Diceros bicornis minor: one gene and its partner. The protein of the gene in region 1 purifies or fractionates together with the protein of each later gene. This does not show direct contact. Links are inferred from orthologs where the notes say so. Each region holds a gene or a part of one and is shown in the gene's direction. Other genes may lie near its edges.

Region 1 (7,892 bases):
AATAAATGAATAATTTAAAAATAGTTTTTAAAGTCCAATTTAAGGCTAGGTCTCAAAGAGTATGATGTCCACCTCTTCTCTCCTTTATATTATATATGGTGTGCTTCTAAAAAGTCAGAATGAATATCAGGAATATTGTTGAAGGAATATATTCATTCAAGTGATCACTATTCTATCATCGAATTTTAATGTTGCCTCTTTATACTTTCTTAAAAAAATGTTTATTGTTCACCTGTATTTTTTCACATTTTAACCTCTATTCTTCACATTACTCTTTCATCAAAAAAAGTCAAAAAATAATTTTTTTGTACCTGCACAATGGAAAGACCTTTAAAAGGAAATGAAGGAAGAAAAAGGAGACAGAACCCGGGAGCATTAAGAGCCTCCCAAAGGAAAAAAATTGCACAAAGGTTAAAAGAAGTAAGTTACAGAAGAGGTGTTTTTTCAACAGAATGTTTTGCAATGAAAGTGTCCAAATTCCTGTATTCATGAAATTTTCTTTAGTTTCTCTACAAGAATTATTTCTTTTCAGTTTGCATCCTTTCCCCACCCCCACTTCCACCCATTTATAAGAGAAACGGAGAAATGAGGAACTCAGCCCGAAAGTGAGAATAGCTGTGCAGCAGCAGGAGGCAGCTGAAAAGTAAGTTACCAGAGAAAAACCAAACGACAAGCCTGGCCGAAGGTACAAGGAATGAGAGAGTGGAGAAAGCGTAACAAGAAGAGAACACAGACCGGCAAGGTCTTCTCAGTACAGCAGTTGCTGGCTCCTTTCTGCCGAGGTCACTGGAGCGGGCTCAGCCTTAGGCTCCGCCCAGCTGCCCACAGGTTCTGGCGGAGGGATTTAGACTGCTGCAGAGACACCTGACTTTTCCTGGAAAGAAAAATGTTGAAGGACCACCGATGAACATCTGAAGACTTTTAATCACTCCACTGAAGTTTTTCTAGGAGGAGAATGAAGGGTAACTCAGCAATATAAATACTGTGCAACAATTTGAAAATTAACTGTAGATCCTTAAGACTACAATAGAACATGTACAGCAATAATTCACTTAATGCAATGAAAGGCTAACTGGCTATATAAGCAAAAAGTGTAAATTATATTATACTAGCTGTAAATTATATTACCCTAGCTGTAAATTATATTACACTACTGGGAGGCGGTTAACGACTGTGATGCTGGGACCAGAGTGCCTGGATTCAAATCCCAATTCAGGCACTTTCCAACTGTGATCATCAGCCAGTTACTGTAAAAAGGATTTTAAAATATCACCTACCTTAAAAGGTTTTCGTGAGGGTTAAATGAATATACATATATATATATCGCATTTAGAACAGTGCCTGGCACATAGTAAGTACTCAAAAAAGATTAGCTCATTATTAAAGTATATAGGTTTGCCTAAAAAAAAAATTCTGTTTAAATTGTTATAATTACATGTTTCCAAAGCTGTTTTCTTATACAAAACTAGACTATGAGACAGGATAGTCTAACTGACCCCTTGAGATCACAAAGTTTGGTTAAGTGTTCTCGAGATATACAACATGGTTCTGGTTGGTTCGGTCTTAACTAGCCTGGCAGTTCCAGCATTTATCAACCTATTTTCCTTCATTTAGTATCTCTTTCACCCGACAGTGTGGACTAATCATTTCTACATAAGATTAGATATAAATTCATAACATAATCATGTGTAAAGTTTTGAACTTCTCAAGAAAAGGTAATAATTTACAGAACTACAATATTTCCAAATAATAGAATCACACTGTATTTTGGTTGCTGGGAGTTACCAAAACTTCTATAGGATCTGTGCATTTAATTCAGCAAGGAGTCACTGCACCTGAACTTCGTAGCTACTTTGAGAATAGTGTGCACATTCTACATCTTTAAGTTACCACCATTTTCTTCCAATATGCAAGAGCAGATATTACATTGGTGTGTTGCCATTATTCAAATATTTTCAGGTAAAGTATTAAGTGAAACCACATTAAGTTGCAGAAAATTGGCAATTTCACATGGTTCAGCCTAAATATATTCTGCTTACAACATACTTTTAGAAACTTCCTTGCGGGAAAAACAGCTTTTGTGTTTGTTTTACCAAAATGATTATTTTTGGTTTATAAAAATCACTTTTGGTGAGAGAGGGAAATGGGGAGTTGTTGTTCAATAGGTATAGAGTTTCAGTCATGCAAGATGAAAGAGTTCTAGAGACCTGCTGTACAACAATGTGCATATAATTAACAATACTGTCTTGTACGCTTAAAAATTTAAGACAGTAGATTACATATGTGTTTTTTTCACTATAAAAATTATAACAGGGGGCCGGCCCCGTGACATAGCGGTTAAGTGCGCGTGAGCTCCTCGGCTGGCAGAGGGGGTTCGGATTCCGGGGACGCACCTACGCACTGCTTGTCAGGCCATGCCGTGGCAGCATCCCACATAAAATGGAGGAAGATGGGCACGGATGTTAGCCCACGGCCAGTCTTCCTCGGCAAAAAGAGAAGGATTGGCATGGATGTTATCGCAGGGCTGATCTTCCTCACACACAAAAAAACTATAATAATAAAAAAAGACAAGCTTAAAAATAGAGCTCCAGTTTCTAGGCCATGCTTCTCTTGACTGGTAAAATAAACACAATTATTAAGAGTTTTTAAAAATCACTTTTTTTATGGCATTTAATTATATCAGAAAATGTTAAGTACAGTTTTGACCCTACCTTAAATTTCCAACTTTGTATTCTTCATGATCCTTTCCACATAGTACTGGGGGCTCAAGGTCAATTTATTGAAGACATTCATTTTAGTGAAATCTATCAATTTTCAAGGGTTATCTTTACTGTAGAAATATATCTAATATAAAAATATGAAATAGTGGCTAGAAAACGGTTAAACACAGACTAAGACTTTTTTCTCTCACTTCTCATTCCTTATACTCAATTACACTAATAGATACCTTCCATGCACATTCACTGAATTCTTTAAATACATTTAACTTAAATTAATTAAATTAATTCCTTCATCAGATATTTATTGAGTCCTTATTGGGTTCCAGGTACTACGATGGAGCCTGGAGACAAACTACAAAAACCACATGATAGAGACTGCAGGAAGAAGCATGAAGTACTAAGGAAGTACCTACCTTGGGGGAGTGGGTAGAGAATACAAGGGAAGCTTTAAAATCGAGAAACACTAGAGGGGATACTTTAAGTGGAATCATAAAAATTTTGTTTCTTAAAGATGAAAATTATTTTGAAAATACTCCATTGAAATTCAAAAATTCAACGAGTAAAATCTTGTAACCAAAAAAAAAAAAAAACCCAATCCCCAAAACTATAGTTTATATTGAACTTGACCATATAAGCCAAATAATTCAAGTACAGAGATAAAAATTCCAATTTGAGATATTTAATTTATACAATGCAAAGACCACTCATCATTTATATCCAGAAGGTAATTTGTGCTTTTGCCAACACCAATATATCCTATCAACTTTTAGTGTAAATGTAGAGTTAACGTTTATAAGTACTTGTTTGATGCCAAGTTAAATCACAATATGACAATATACAAGGTTCAAACATAGAAGAAGGTACCAGCAAGTCCCTGGGGACTCAGTGAGAAGTTCTTGAAGAAAAAGTCATACACTGACCTTGTAAAAATAGTTGGAGCTTGCACATTCAATTTTTCCTTCCAACAAGTTTTTGTGTTAACTTCATGGTCACTAAAAACAAGATCAAGTTCAATCATCACTGACTCAAAGCTAAATTAAATTTTTTTATGGTTATTAGATATACCTCCATATTTAACAGCCAGTCTTTGGAGGAAGAGACCATCTCATTCTTAATAGTGAGTATGGAGAAAGCCCGTAACAGAACTTTAAATACCTAACTGGACAGAGTTGGACCCATTTCTAAAATTTCTTAATACATTCTGCTAACATTACTTCATTTATATAACATTATGAGTACAGGACAACAAAACTTAAACATAAAGAGAAAGCCAAATCAAGCTATATCTGTGACATGTCTGTTTAGTGAAACTACTTCAATCCATAAAAACATATAATCTATTTAAAAACACTAAAACAAGTGGCTAGCTTCAAGTTAACATTTTTATTGCTAGCACTGAAATTTCCTCCAATGTTAACTGTTTTTAAAAAAAAATAAGATTTAAATCCAGACAAAATCAATTTTTTAAAATGGGAATTGTTATCCATCCATAAATGTAAAGTTTTGCCTAATTTTTTCTTGCAAAAAATATAGCTTTTGTTTTTCCTTCTTTTTGAGGAAGCAAAGTTATCTTTAAAGAAATACCTGCTGAATTTGCAGGATCTTTGGAGTACTTCTACTCACATGACTTATTGCCACACAGTCAAATATTTAAACAACAACTGTCTCCCTTCTCGAAAGACCCACGAGGGGCAGGACCGTACTTAGCTTCTGGAGATTACCAAATCCACACTCAGAAATCCTCCAGGACAGCCTTGGTGGTGGATTCTGAAGACGCCAGTCTGGGTTCTGCCCCTAGCCACACAAACCTTACATCCTTTTCACCTACCAGGGGGGTCTCTCAGTCCAGGAGTGCTAGGTATCAAAGATACTGGGGGCATTTAAAACATGTATTTAATCCCTACCTACGTTTAGATTTTTCGGGTTTCTTTAAAAAAAAAAAAGGCGCATGGCTGCCACCATGTCCGCCGCCACTCTGGCGGCTCAGACCGCTGTCATCCAGGCTCGCACAGCTCCGCCCATCGCTTGACAGATAGCCAATGGCGTGCGAGGACTCTAGGAAGCGCGATGACGTAAGCGCTGACGCCAGCGTGATGACGCAGGCGGCGTCACCGTCTCCAAGGAGCGGTCCAGGGCACCGGTTTCAAAGTCGCAGGGCGGGCCGAGTGGACTTCCGCTCTTGGCCCCGGGCTTCCCGGCTGTCGTGGAGTCGCCCCCAGCTCCGTGAAGGACGCCGCCACCAGGCTGCCCGCCGGCTTCCTCTGCGCTCTCCTAAGTGGCCCGACACGACCCCGAGTGACCCGCGGGACGCCTGTATCCACTCGCGTCCCCGTCCCACCCGACTGGGATTTGGGTGATCGTGGATCAGAATTCACTTGGCAGGTCCCCAGCAAACCTGAAATCTGAAGTCTCTTGCCTGAGCGAGGGAGTCGGCTGGGACTCGGGAGAAGGAGGCGCGGCGGAGCTGTTGACGCGGCGTGAGTGGGATGCCGATTACACCGTTCGAGTGCTTGACAACCTCCGGAGCGTTGCGTTAGTTTTGTTTTCCCGCACAGCAAGCTCTGTGTCTTTTTGAAGAAAGTAAAGGTGGTGAAAGCTCCAAACTAAAATTGTATCGAAATGGCCACAGAAATCGACTTTCTGAGAGATCAAAGTAAGCTCCTTATTTCTTTATCGAGAATTTTTATATGTGATGTTTAGTGTCGTCATCGTTGATCAACTAATATTTTTTGAATGCCTGTTGGTTGCATGGAAATTTGTAAAAACTTAAAGAAGTTAGCTGCAGAAAAAGCTTGGTGGCATATATGAGGATGTGTATATACTTTAACCAGAGCTGTTTGTAAGTACTTGTAGGTTCCTTAAGCGTGTTACATGGGACTCTGCTAGACACTAAATATGTTTGTTATGCTCCTCGCGTGCTCTGGATAAATTAGAGGACTAATGGCAAGGAAGAGTTTCCAAGCCTGCAGTTAGAACACAGCTCTGGCCATTTGTTCAAAAGATGTTTATTGAGCGCCTCCTGTTTCTGTTATGTGCCAGGGGCTAAACAAACATAGCTACTACAAAGATGAAGAGGATGGTTCTACTCTCCAAGAATTTAATTTGAGGAGGGAAACATAAATTCCATAAATCACTGAAGTAGCAGCAACTGCTGACTCTTTTGCCTCGGTTTCCTCATAGGGTTGTCGGAATGATTAAATGAGTATTAAAATATGTAAAGGATTTAGAATAGTTTCTGACGTATAGTGCTAAACAAGTATTACCTGTTACAAGATTATTATTAACTATGGTCAAGGAAGGTGCTGTTTGGGCTGAAACTTGAAGTACTAATATAAATTTACTAGATAAAGAACTTTGTAGGCATCCCAAATAGAATAGTATTTGTAGCATTGAGAGGATTAGGAATATGCTTTGTTCAAGACTTGCAGGAAGGTTGGCTTGAGTGGAATATGGTTTATTTATGTAGGCAAATGGCAGGTGTAGCTGAAAGGGAAGAACAGGACTAGATGATGAGGGGCCTTGTCTGCTATGTGGTTAAGGAGTTTGGACCATTGCACAGATTATAGGAACCACTGGAAGGAATTCAGTTGAGTGACATGATCAAATTGTGATTTGGAAAGTCCGGTATGGCTGTTAGGAGGAATGTGCATTACAGCAGAGTGCAGTTAGATGACTATTGTTATCATCCTGGTAAAAAGTGAACTAAGGTAGGTATAATGAGATTGGAGATTAGGGGATCTGAATGAAAGGTAGAGGGCAACTTCAGTTTTTGGCTTGAGCAACAGGAAAGTTAGGAAAAAAGTGGTAAGTTCCATTTTGGAAACATTATAGATCAGTGGTTAAGAAGTCAACCTCTGGATTCAGTCTGTCTGGGCTCATATCCTAGCCCTATCTCTTTCCAAGTGTTTGACCTTGGGCAAGTTACTTAGCTTCTCTGTGCCTCAGTTTTCTCCTTTGTAAAATGGGTAGAATAACACAATAACCCTCTTAGAGTTGTTGTGAGGATTAAATGAGATGATGCAAATAAAGCATTTAGCATGGTGTCTAGACCATATTAAGTGCACACTATATGTTATCCAAAATCGTTAATGATAGCATTAACGTTAGCATTATTTCTCAGGTTTGAAGTGGGAATATCCCCCACCCCATAAGGAGGATTAGCTGACTGCAGTCTGAGTGGTGTGGCTCAAGAGTTGGGTGATGAGGGATATGGTTGGGGTGGGAAGAGTACCTGAGGCCGTCAGAAATGATGAGTTTTAGAGAGAAATAAGCCAGCCAGAATTCTTAGATAAAATTGAAGTCCAAATCAGAGTGTTGGAACAATAGAAACATAGTAAATTATTTCTTGAAAAATGAGTGGTAGTTAATTGGAAGACAAGTGGAGAGAGAGAAGGGAATCTCAGACAGAGGGAGCAGAAGCAGCGAAGGCTCAGAGGCTTGAAATGACAGTGCTTATTCAGGATATTGGAGCATGGAATGTAGGGTTTGCATGAAGAGATGAGAATGAGTGTTGGATGTCTGTGACCCTCCCCTTTTTTCCTTTAACTGGACCTAGCATGCCGGTAACAGCTGGTCGGTTACCTCATTAGGTGAACCACCTAAACACCAGCTCAGGTAAATATAGATGGCTTGCCCTTCTCTCACCTACCTTTGACCTTCTCTACTTTGACTTCCGTTGATCTTGATTGCCTCTTTTCATTTGTTCCATTTGGATTTGGTAGCCGAGCTCCAGACAATTTGATTTGGTGCTTCTCAACTGGCAACCCTTCTGATAAAGCATCAGCTTTGCGCATCATAACCACAGGCAATTCCACACCCAACCAGACTTCTAGTAAACTTCTAGCATTTTTGCAGTACGCCATTCTACCACCTCCATCTGAGAAGGGAAATCTGATAGTCCTTAGGGACCTGTTCAAAGAGGGACTCCTATAATTAAGCTAAGGAGTGAAGAATTCATTCTTGTAGGGAGGGTTATGGGTGGTGCGGATAGACTCATTTTTTCTTTTCATTTTCTTGACAGTGTCTGTCACAGAGCAGGAGTTTGTAAATTTGGTGATGTTCAATTTATCAGTTTTTTCTTTTATGGATGTGTCATATCTAAGAAATCTTTGTCTAACCCAAGGCTGCAAAGATTTTATTCAAGAAGTTTTGTAGTTTTAGATTTTACATTTA
Region 2 (8,072 bases), on another chromosome or scaffold:
TGGTATTTGTCTTTCTCCATCTGACTTATTTCATTTAGCATAATATCCTCAAGGTCCACCCATGTTGCAAATGGTAAGATTTCATCTTTTTTTTTGACTTAGTAGTATTCCATTGTCAGACATCAACTCTTAATCTCAGAGTTCCAGGTTTTCAGTCTCCTTCGCCATCTGGATAGTCACATAAATCCATTGAAAATGTTGTAGAAAGTTGTTTTGGTGCATTTGTGTAATTGTTGCATGGAATGTTTGTGTATTAGTCAGGATAAGTATGCCAGCTGCTGAAACAAACAACCTCAAAATATCAGTGGCTCAATATATTGAAGGTTTAGTTCTTGCCCAAGACACAGTTCTGTGCTCTATGCTTTGCAATCATCCACTCTTCTTCCAGGGCCTCAGAGTTCTCCATTGGATCCTCTGCATCTAGCTGGCCAACTAATGAAAAATAAGGAAGAGAGTGCAGGATGTTTGGAGGCCAGGCCTGGAAGTGGCTATATCACTTCTGCTCATACTTCATTGCCAGACTGGGTCATATAGACCCATCTAACCACTAGAAAGGATGAGAAACGTAGTCTTACTGAGTGCTAAGGAGGAAAATTAACAGAATGGTGAACACATAGTGTTATATCACAGCAGGTAAAAAATGCATTCTATGTCAATGAATATTATTCCTCAAATAATGAACCATGTATATGTGTAAACCCTTCTGGGTCACAAAATATATATTTTACACATCTCATACAAGGAAAATAAAAAATATCAGTAGCTGTCAAATGATGAGTTTCAAGGCCATATAGAATGGAGGATAAGAAAGGATAGACTTTGGATTTGGAAAAGATCTGTTTGAATTCTAGCTCTACCACTAGCTGGTCAAGAACATACTGGCAGCATGATCTTAGGCCAGGTGCCCTCAAAGGACTGTTATTGGGTTTAAATAAGGCAATAAATGCTTATACTGGTGTAAATGCTCAATGGGTGGAGGGGTTCCACATACATATTCATGTGGCATCACAGCCTTTCTCCCTACTTTCTACTTTTGAGTCATCTCTACTTAAAAGTGAATTTTCTAATAGCATAGGATGCAATGTCAAATATTTCTGAATAGTGATTGCAAAATGAAATACTTTCCATGTTCATGTCTGTTACAGGTTGAATTGTGTACCCCCTAAATTCGTATGTTGAAGTCCTAATTCCCAGCACTCCAGAATGTGACCTTATTTGGAAATAGGGTCATTGTGATATAATTAATTAAGATAAGGTCATACTAGAGGAAGGTGGGCCCCTAATCCAATATAACTAGTTTCCTTATAAAAGGGGAAATTTGGAGACACACATGCACACAGGGAGAATGCCATGTGAAAATGACTTCAGAGATCGGGGTGATGCACCTCAAGCCAAGGAATGCCAAAGATTGCTGGCAAACTTCCAGAAGCTAAGCGAGAGGCACGGAGCAGAGTCTTCCTCAGAAGGAACCAACCCTGCCCACACCTTGATCTCAGACTTCTGGCCTCCAGAACTGTGACACAATAAATTTTTGTTGTTTAAGCCATCCAGTTTGTGGTACTTTATTATGGCAGCCCTAGCAAACTACATAATATAATATCCAAGCAGTTATTGACTCAAATATACAGGATTTAATTTTAAAATTGTGTGGTGTTTACATTTTAAAATGTAAAATTCTAATTTCAACATATTTCCAAAACCAATCTTCCATTCATTGATCCAACTGTTTCTGAGCTACAAAAACGGCAATTTCATATGGTTCACCCAAAGAGCCATATGTCTACTGAGATGAAACACTGGCTTTCTTTACTCTTTGCCTAATGGGGCCATTAGGGACCCATCTTTGGAACTAGACTCATTAACATTACACAGATAATCAGCTGTGACCCGGGCCAAGTCCCTTACCTGCCCTGAACCTTTTTCTCCTCTAAAAAAACAAGGGGGTGAAGCTAGATTCCCTCTAACTCGCAGCTAAGACATTCTGTAGCTTATAAGAAGACTTGTCCATCTAGGCAGACTTCATGGCCTGTGGTCCAGGAAGTACAATCAGAGCTGTTTACAGAAATCAGCTCTGCTAATATAAAGGGATTTAAGAACAATATTAAAAGGGAGTGCTCCAGCAAATTAAATATTCAAAGTGAAAAACTCTGCATTTAATAAAAGTCTGTCACCATTTAGAATGCATAATTTTAGCATAAATACTCTAGAAATATTCATTTAGTTTGCTATGTGTTATTGTTAATAAAGAGGGTCCTGCATTTGGATTTGTCATATGTCATTAATAAATCAACCATAGAATGCAAATTTTAATTATTTTGAATTATCTATTTACTGTTTAATTATATTTAATTTTAGACTCTCCTAAAATGGCCTAATAAAAATTTGGGATGCTAAACGATGCCTCACCTGGTTACTCTATGTATTTACTGAAAATAATTAGTTACATTAATTGTTTGGGGGATTTTTTTCCCTTAGAAAACTAATCTGGGTGAGGGGAGACCTAAATAAAATATGCTAAAAAGATGCATTTTTTTTTTTTTTTGCCAGGGTTGTAGTACAATGTTGTTTGCACTAAAATCACTAAAGTAAACCTTTGTACACTATGTGGAAATTAATAAACATAAACCTGACTAAAATGGAGTCAGGTGGCCAAAAGGGGGAGCTCTGACACCCTATGAAGATAGCAGAGCCCAATAGGAAGAAGAAAGACTTCCTCTTCTTGCCAGCAACAGCTCAGCCAATGATAGACTACCACAACTCAGCCAATGAAAAGCCACTACACTTTAAACTCCCAGTCTCCTCCTCTTTGGAGGACTCTTTGTTTACATTAGCCCTCCCAACTTCCTCTTCCCCTCTATAAGAGTTTCTCCTCCCTTTTCTGCAGGACTTGCAGGTGGCTTGACATGGTTGTAGACCTTAGATTGCAATTCTTTGCTGATCCCAAATAAACCTCTTTGTGCTGGAGAAATAACTGGCTGTTTAAGGTCCACAACTACCATGGAATCAATTTGGTATAATGATTTGATATAACTAAATAAAAGTAACATCAGGATTACCCTTAGACCTAGGCAAGAGGGCCCCTACCCTGGCTTCTGTATATTACAAAGCCTGTTCTGGCCCTTTTCTGGCCATGCCATTCTATGCAAGGCAAGGAGGCCCAGGGCCAGGGGACATGCCTGCCTAGAGTGCGCTCTCTCTCTCTCTCTCTCTCTCACACACACACACACACACACACACACACACACACACACCCCATTCTGCAACACATTCCAGGTACCTATCACCCTGACAATCCCTGCTCAAAGGGCCCTAACCTCCTTTCTGAGGCCCTTAAAGACCTCTTTCCTGGACCCTTCCTGCAAGGGTGACTATCACTTCCTGCAAGGTGCTCGCCCTTAGGCCTGAGGAGTGGCCAAGAGGAGGCTGAGGTGAGGATGAGGACAGAGCTAGGACTTGTAGACTGGGGTGGCGGCGTAGGGGAGACACACACATCCCTGCCAGTGTGTGCAGCCCCTCACAGTGCAAGACTGGGCCCGGGGCGGGAAATAAAGGAGTTGGCTGGGGAAGGAGTCAGAGAACTAAATTTCCCTCTGGCTTTCCAGGTTCTTATGAAGGCACATTGGCCAAGGTAGGAGGAGAGAACATATTTTATCTACAAATTGTCATCTTGATTTATAATTGTTTAATATTTTGACAGATGGTATGAGGGCGTCCATTCACACTCTTGCCCTGGCCCTGGCAAATGTGAAGGGAAGGCTAAGTAACATTATAATTTTATATTATCGACCTTTGAGTAGTCCATCTCTCTTGCTAATGATTGATTTACTAGTTTAAGTCACACCTTGCAAGTAAGTGAAATTAATGACTGAGAAAAGAAACCAAAAGAAATGAAGAATAAGAGACTAAAGAAACTATAATTTCTTTTTTTCTGCCCTGCAGGTTTTGGAGTATGGTTGGCTTTCTTCAGGAAGCTTTTCCCCCAAGTTGGTGATGATGTTGATAAAAACTGATGCTTCCTATGTGCTGGGCCCTCTTCTAAACACTTACACACGTTAACAGATCTAATCTTTATAGCAATGGCATAGCTAGGCCCTGCAGTAACAATCTTCCTGGTTTTACAAATAAAGAACCCTGGGCTTCAGGAGGGTGACCTGCACTTGGTCACACAGTTGGGCAGTGGAAGAGGGGATTTGAGTCTAGGCAGCCTGGCTCAAGTCCCTGCTACAGGATTCTATATCTGCACAAACAAATGTCTGCTTTGCAAGCAACTTGTTAGCAACTTTCCTCTCCTCACCAACTAGTAATGTGACCTACAGCATTAACCACATCCTTATGGTCAGCACGGATTTACAGGTAAGGGATTGTTCTGCTGTCAGGGCTGAACACAGTTGCTTACAATTTTGTCCTTTTTTGTGGTGTTTTCTTTTGCTTTTAAGTGCTGGTAGGAAACCAAGCTTAGCACAGTGCGTGGCACTCAGCATATCCTGGGGAGAAGAGAGGGAGAGGTGGCGGGAGGGAAAGAGAATGCATCTTGCAAAATTAATGTAGTTTCATGCCAGGACAAAAAATGATCACGTGACTTGCTCCCAGCCACGCTCCATCCTTTACCCATGGTGGGGATCAGGAGTGGTCTTCTGACTGACCCTCAGAGAACGGCTCCGCCTGGAGGAGGACCAGGGTCTGTCCCGTGAGAGTTCTGAACGGTTAGGGAGAAGGAAGACGCCAGTCTCCGGCAGAGAGCCCTGGGCACCCAACCCCCAAGGACCCCTGCCCATCCCGCAGCGTGCAGCCTGGGCCGGCTCCCCCCAAGGCGGCCGTCAACCTCTCCCACGACACCCCGCCTCCGCCCCGCCCCTCCACGGGCCCCGCCCCTCCACGGCCGTCTACCCCGCCCATTCACGGCGCCCCGCCCCGCCCCCTGCACAGCGTCGGGGCGCCATGTTCACCCGCGGTGCATGGTGGGGCCGTCGCCCCCGACAACCCGCCCCTCCCCTCCGCGCGCTGGCCCGAAGCGGCGCGGGGCGAGCGTGGCGGCGGCGGCATGCCCCAGGCACCCGCACGGTCCGCGCCCCTGGCGAGCCCCGACTACTATGAGAGGCTGGGCCGCCTCCAGCGCGGGCTGCGGGACAGGTACGGCCTACCCGAGGCGGGGGCGGGAATCGGCCGGCGCCGAGGGTCGGCTGGTGCCCTGCCCTCTGTCCTTCCCACTCGCCCCGCCCGTGGGTCCCCTGGGCCTGGGTCCGCCCGCGACGGCCCCCAAGCTCCCACTGGGGCCTGGAGGACAGAGTTTACCGGAGAGACCCCCGCGTTGGAGATCTCCCGCTGGAGGACGCGGCCGCGTCACTGAATTTGCCCGGAAGTGGGAGTAGGAGTTCTCCTGCCTGTCACTCTCAGTCAAGCCTCGTGAATTTCTCTAGTTCCTTTCTACACGCCCCCTCCGCAGTCTCTTCAAATTGTCATCCCACCCTGACAGCTGCACTGCATCAGTGGTGACAGGTCCAGGAACGCAGGCAGGAGAGTGTGTGTGTGTTTGTCAAACATATGCCCTATTTAAATGCGGGAGACTTTTTGAGGGCCATAGTTCCAACGAAGGGATGAAATTTGCAGACAGAGAAGTCCAGCTTCTGGAGTATTCATGATACCTTGATTAAGACGTGGAAGATGAGAACCGCTGAAGACAGCTAGATCTAAGAGCACATAAAGAAAGAAAATTATAAAGCACTTTGCTATAAATAACCACATAAAAGATAAGTTGTTGGAACTATTATTTAGCTGCTAAATTAATTGGTGTTGGAAATCTCATTAGTTGACAAGAAAGGAAATAGATGTTTGGATCTCTTGATAAACAAAAGGTTTAATGAGTGTTAAAGTTGCAAAATCATTTTAGTGAAGAGAGCTGTGTGTGTGTAACAATGCTAAAATGACAACAATAGTTACGTGTAAGGTAAAGGCAGAAGTAAGTGGTTTTGAAAAGGAATTATATTGGTTTTATGCTACATTTAATTTTTGTCAAATATTTATGGAGCGTCTACAACAGTCCTCCTGAATTGTCCTCACCGTATTTTACTCTTTAATCTTTTTCTACATCCTATTTTCTTTCTGACATACCGCCGCTCACCCACCCCAGGAACCTCCTCAACTCCAGCTTTTGAAAAATTGCTTCCTTCAGTGCCTTCCCTGCACCAAGTATTGATCAGCCTGTTCCCTAACTTATGCAACCTCGGCATTCTTAAAGGACTCTAGATAGTGGCTTGAGTGACTTGCTCCCTGCCTAGATGGAGAATTCTAGGAGCTCAGAAACCATATCTAGCTGAAGCTTTAGCTGATAATAGAGTACCTTAGGTGGAGGAGGGACTTGATATATGTTTGTTCAAGGAATGGAAGAAATCCCACGTCAACCAGCTAACGTCCAAGAGGTGTAAATGTCTTGTATAGAACACTAGCCACACATTGCCACTAAATAATGACCATGTTCCAGTCAACCAGGAAGAGTGGACAGTGTGATATTTCAAAGATGATATTGTGTCTGCGTATACTTGATAATTAAAAGACAAGACATTGCTCTGTGCATCAGTACACTTAAAGTGCTTTTTTTTTAAAGAAAAAAACCCAGTTTCTTTAATGTTGTTTGTTATGTTGTGTTTAAAATGAAACCATTGGGGCCAGCCCCATGGCTTAGCGGTTAAGTGCGTGCCCTCTGCTACTGGCGGCCCGGGTTCGGATTCCGGGGGGGGGGTGCACCGACACACCACTTCTCTGGCTGTGCTGAGGCCACGTCCCACATACAGCAACTAGAAGGATGCGCAGCTATGACATACAACTATCTACTGGGGCTTTGGGGAGAAAAAAAAAAGGAGGAGGATTGGCAATAGATGTTAGCTCAGAGCCAGTCTTCCTCAGCAAAAAGAGGAGGATTAGCATAGATGTTAGCTCAGGGCTGATCTTCCTCACACACACACAAAAAAGCCATTATATAAGATTAAATACATTAAAAGAAATCACCAAGGGGAAGAACAATAAGAGTAATAAAATAATTTTGTGTGTGTGTGTGTGTGAAGATCAGCCCTGAGCTAACATCTGCCAATCCTCCTCTTTTTGCTGAGGAAGACTGGCCCTGGGCTAACATCCGTGCCCATCTTCCTCCACTTTATATGGGACGCCGCCACAGCATGGCTTGACAAGCAGTGCGTCGGTGCGCGTCCGGGATCCGAACCCATGAACCCCGGGCCGCCGCAGCGGGGCGCGCACATTTAACTGCTTGCGCCACCAGGCCGGCCCCTAAAATAAATTTTAAAATTTCAATTCTGCTCCAAGGTTCCTTAACCATTTTGAAAAACTAAAGTTTGGTTTATAGATTCAAACCAATTTAAGCTATTGTCCCATCCCCAAAGTGAAATCTTATACTGAAGTCCAGCTCCAAGTTAAAAAGCAAACAAACAAATAATAAAACAAATTCACCTCTGGGTGTGGGTGTAATTTTTTTTCTTTACATTTTACTAATTTATTTTTATTGAGGTCACGTTGGTTTGTAACATTATATAAATTTCAGGTGTACATCATTATATTTCGACTTCTGTATAGAGTCCATCGTGTTCACCACCCAAAGTCTAGTTTCCATCCGTCACTGTACACATGTCCTGCTTTACCCCTTTCACCCTCCCCACACTCGTCTTCCGCTCTGGTAACCACCAATCTGTTCTCTGTACTGTGTGTGTTCGTTTTTTGAGTTTTTTTTTTTTTTTTTTTTAACTGCTTTTTGACTCTGTTCTGTTAGAATAGTAGCTTAGTTACCCCAGGCCTTTAGTTATTTGTATCTCTTAGCCCAAGTTCTAAATTTTAAAATGTCGCTGGTTCAAATGGCATTCTTTTTGAACTAAGTTAATTGTAAGTTATCATTTTTGCTTCCTGTGCTAGGAACACCTGGCTGTTTATAGTCCTTATGGTATAATAACTGTGTAATGATTATTACTTAATGTTTAACACTTAATGCTTTAACTATTAAGCAAGGTGAGGCTGTTGAAATTATATAAGGAATTTGAGTCAAATTTTATAGCCTATTCATGGTTCTGCCT

Evidence for each region. Proteins that work in one complex are often made in the same cells at the same time.
Region 2: the proteins of SCLT1 (region 1) and KIZ purify together in Homo sapiens (co-immunoprecipitation; 3 studies listed by BioGRID and IntAct, counting the BioPlex papers as one, with this or other methods). This does not show direct contact. The link is inferred for Diceros bicornis minor from reciprocal best matches to the Homo sapiens genes SCLT1 and KIZ.

Annotation. Positions count from the first base shown.
Region 1 is NC_080750.1:21,310,174-21,318,065, reverse strand, and holds the start of SCLT1 (sodium channel and clathrin linker 1), read left to right. Parts: upstream 1-4,876; 5' UTR 4,877-5,339; coding exon 5,340-5,373; intron 5,374-7,892. UniProt on the Homo sapiens protein: Adapter protein that links SCN10A to clathrin. Regulates SCN10A channel activity, possibly by promoting channel internalization.
Region 2 is NC_080758.1:47,603,199-47,611,270, forward strand, and holds the start of KIZ (centrosomal protein kizuna), read left to right. Parts: upstream 1-5,026; 5' UTR 5,027-5,041; coding exon 5,042-5,130; intron 5,131-8,072. UniProt on the Homo sapiens protein: Centrosomal protein required for establishing a robust mitotic centrosome architecture that can endure the forces that converge on the centrosomes during spindle formation. Required for stabilizing the expanded pericentriolar material around the centriole.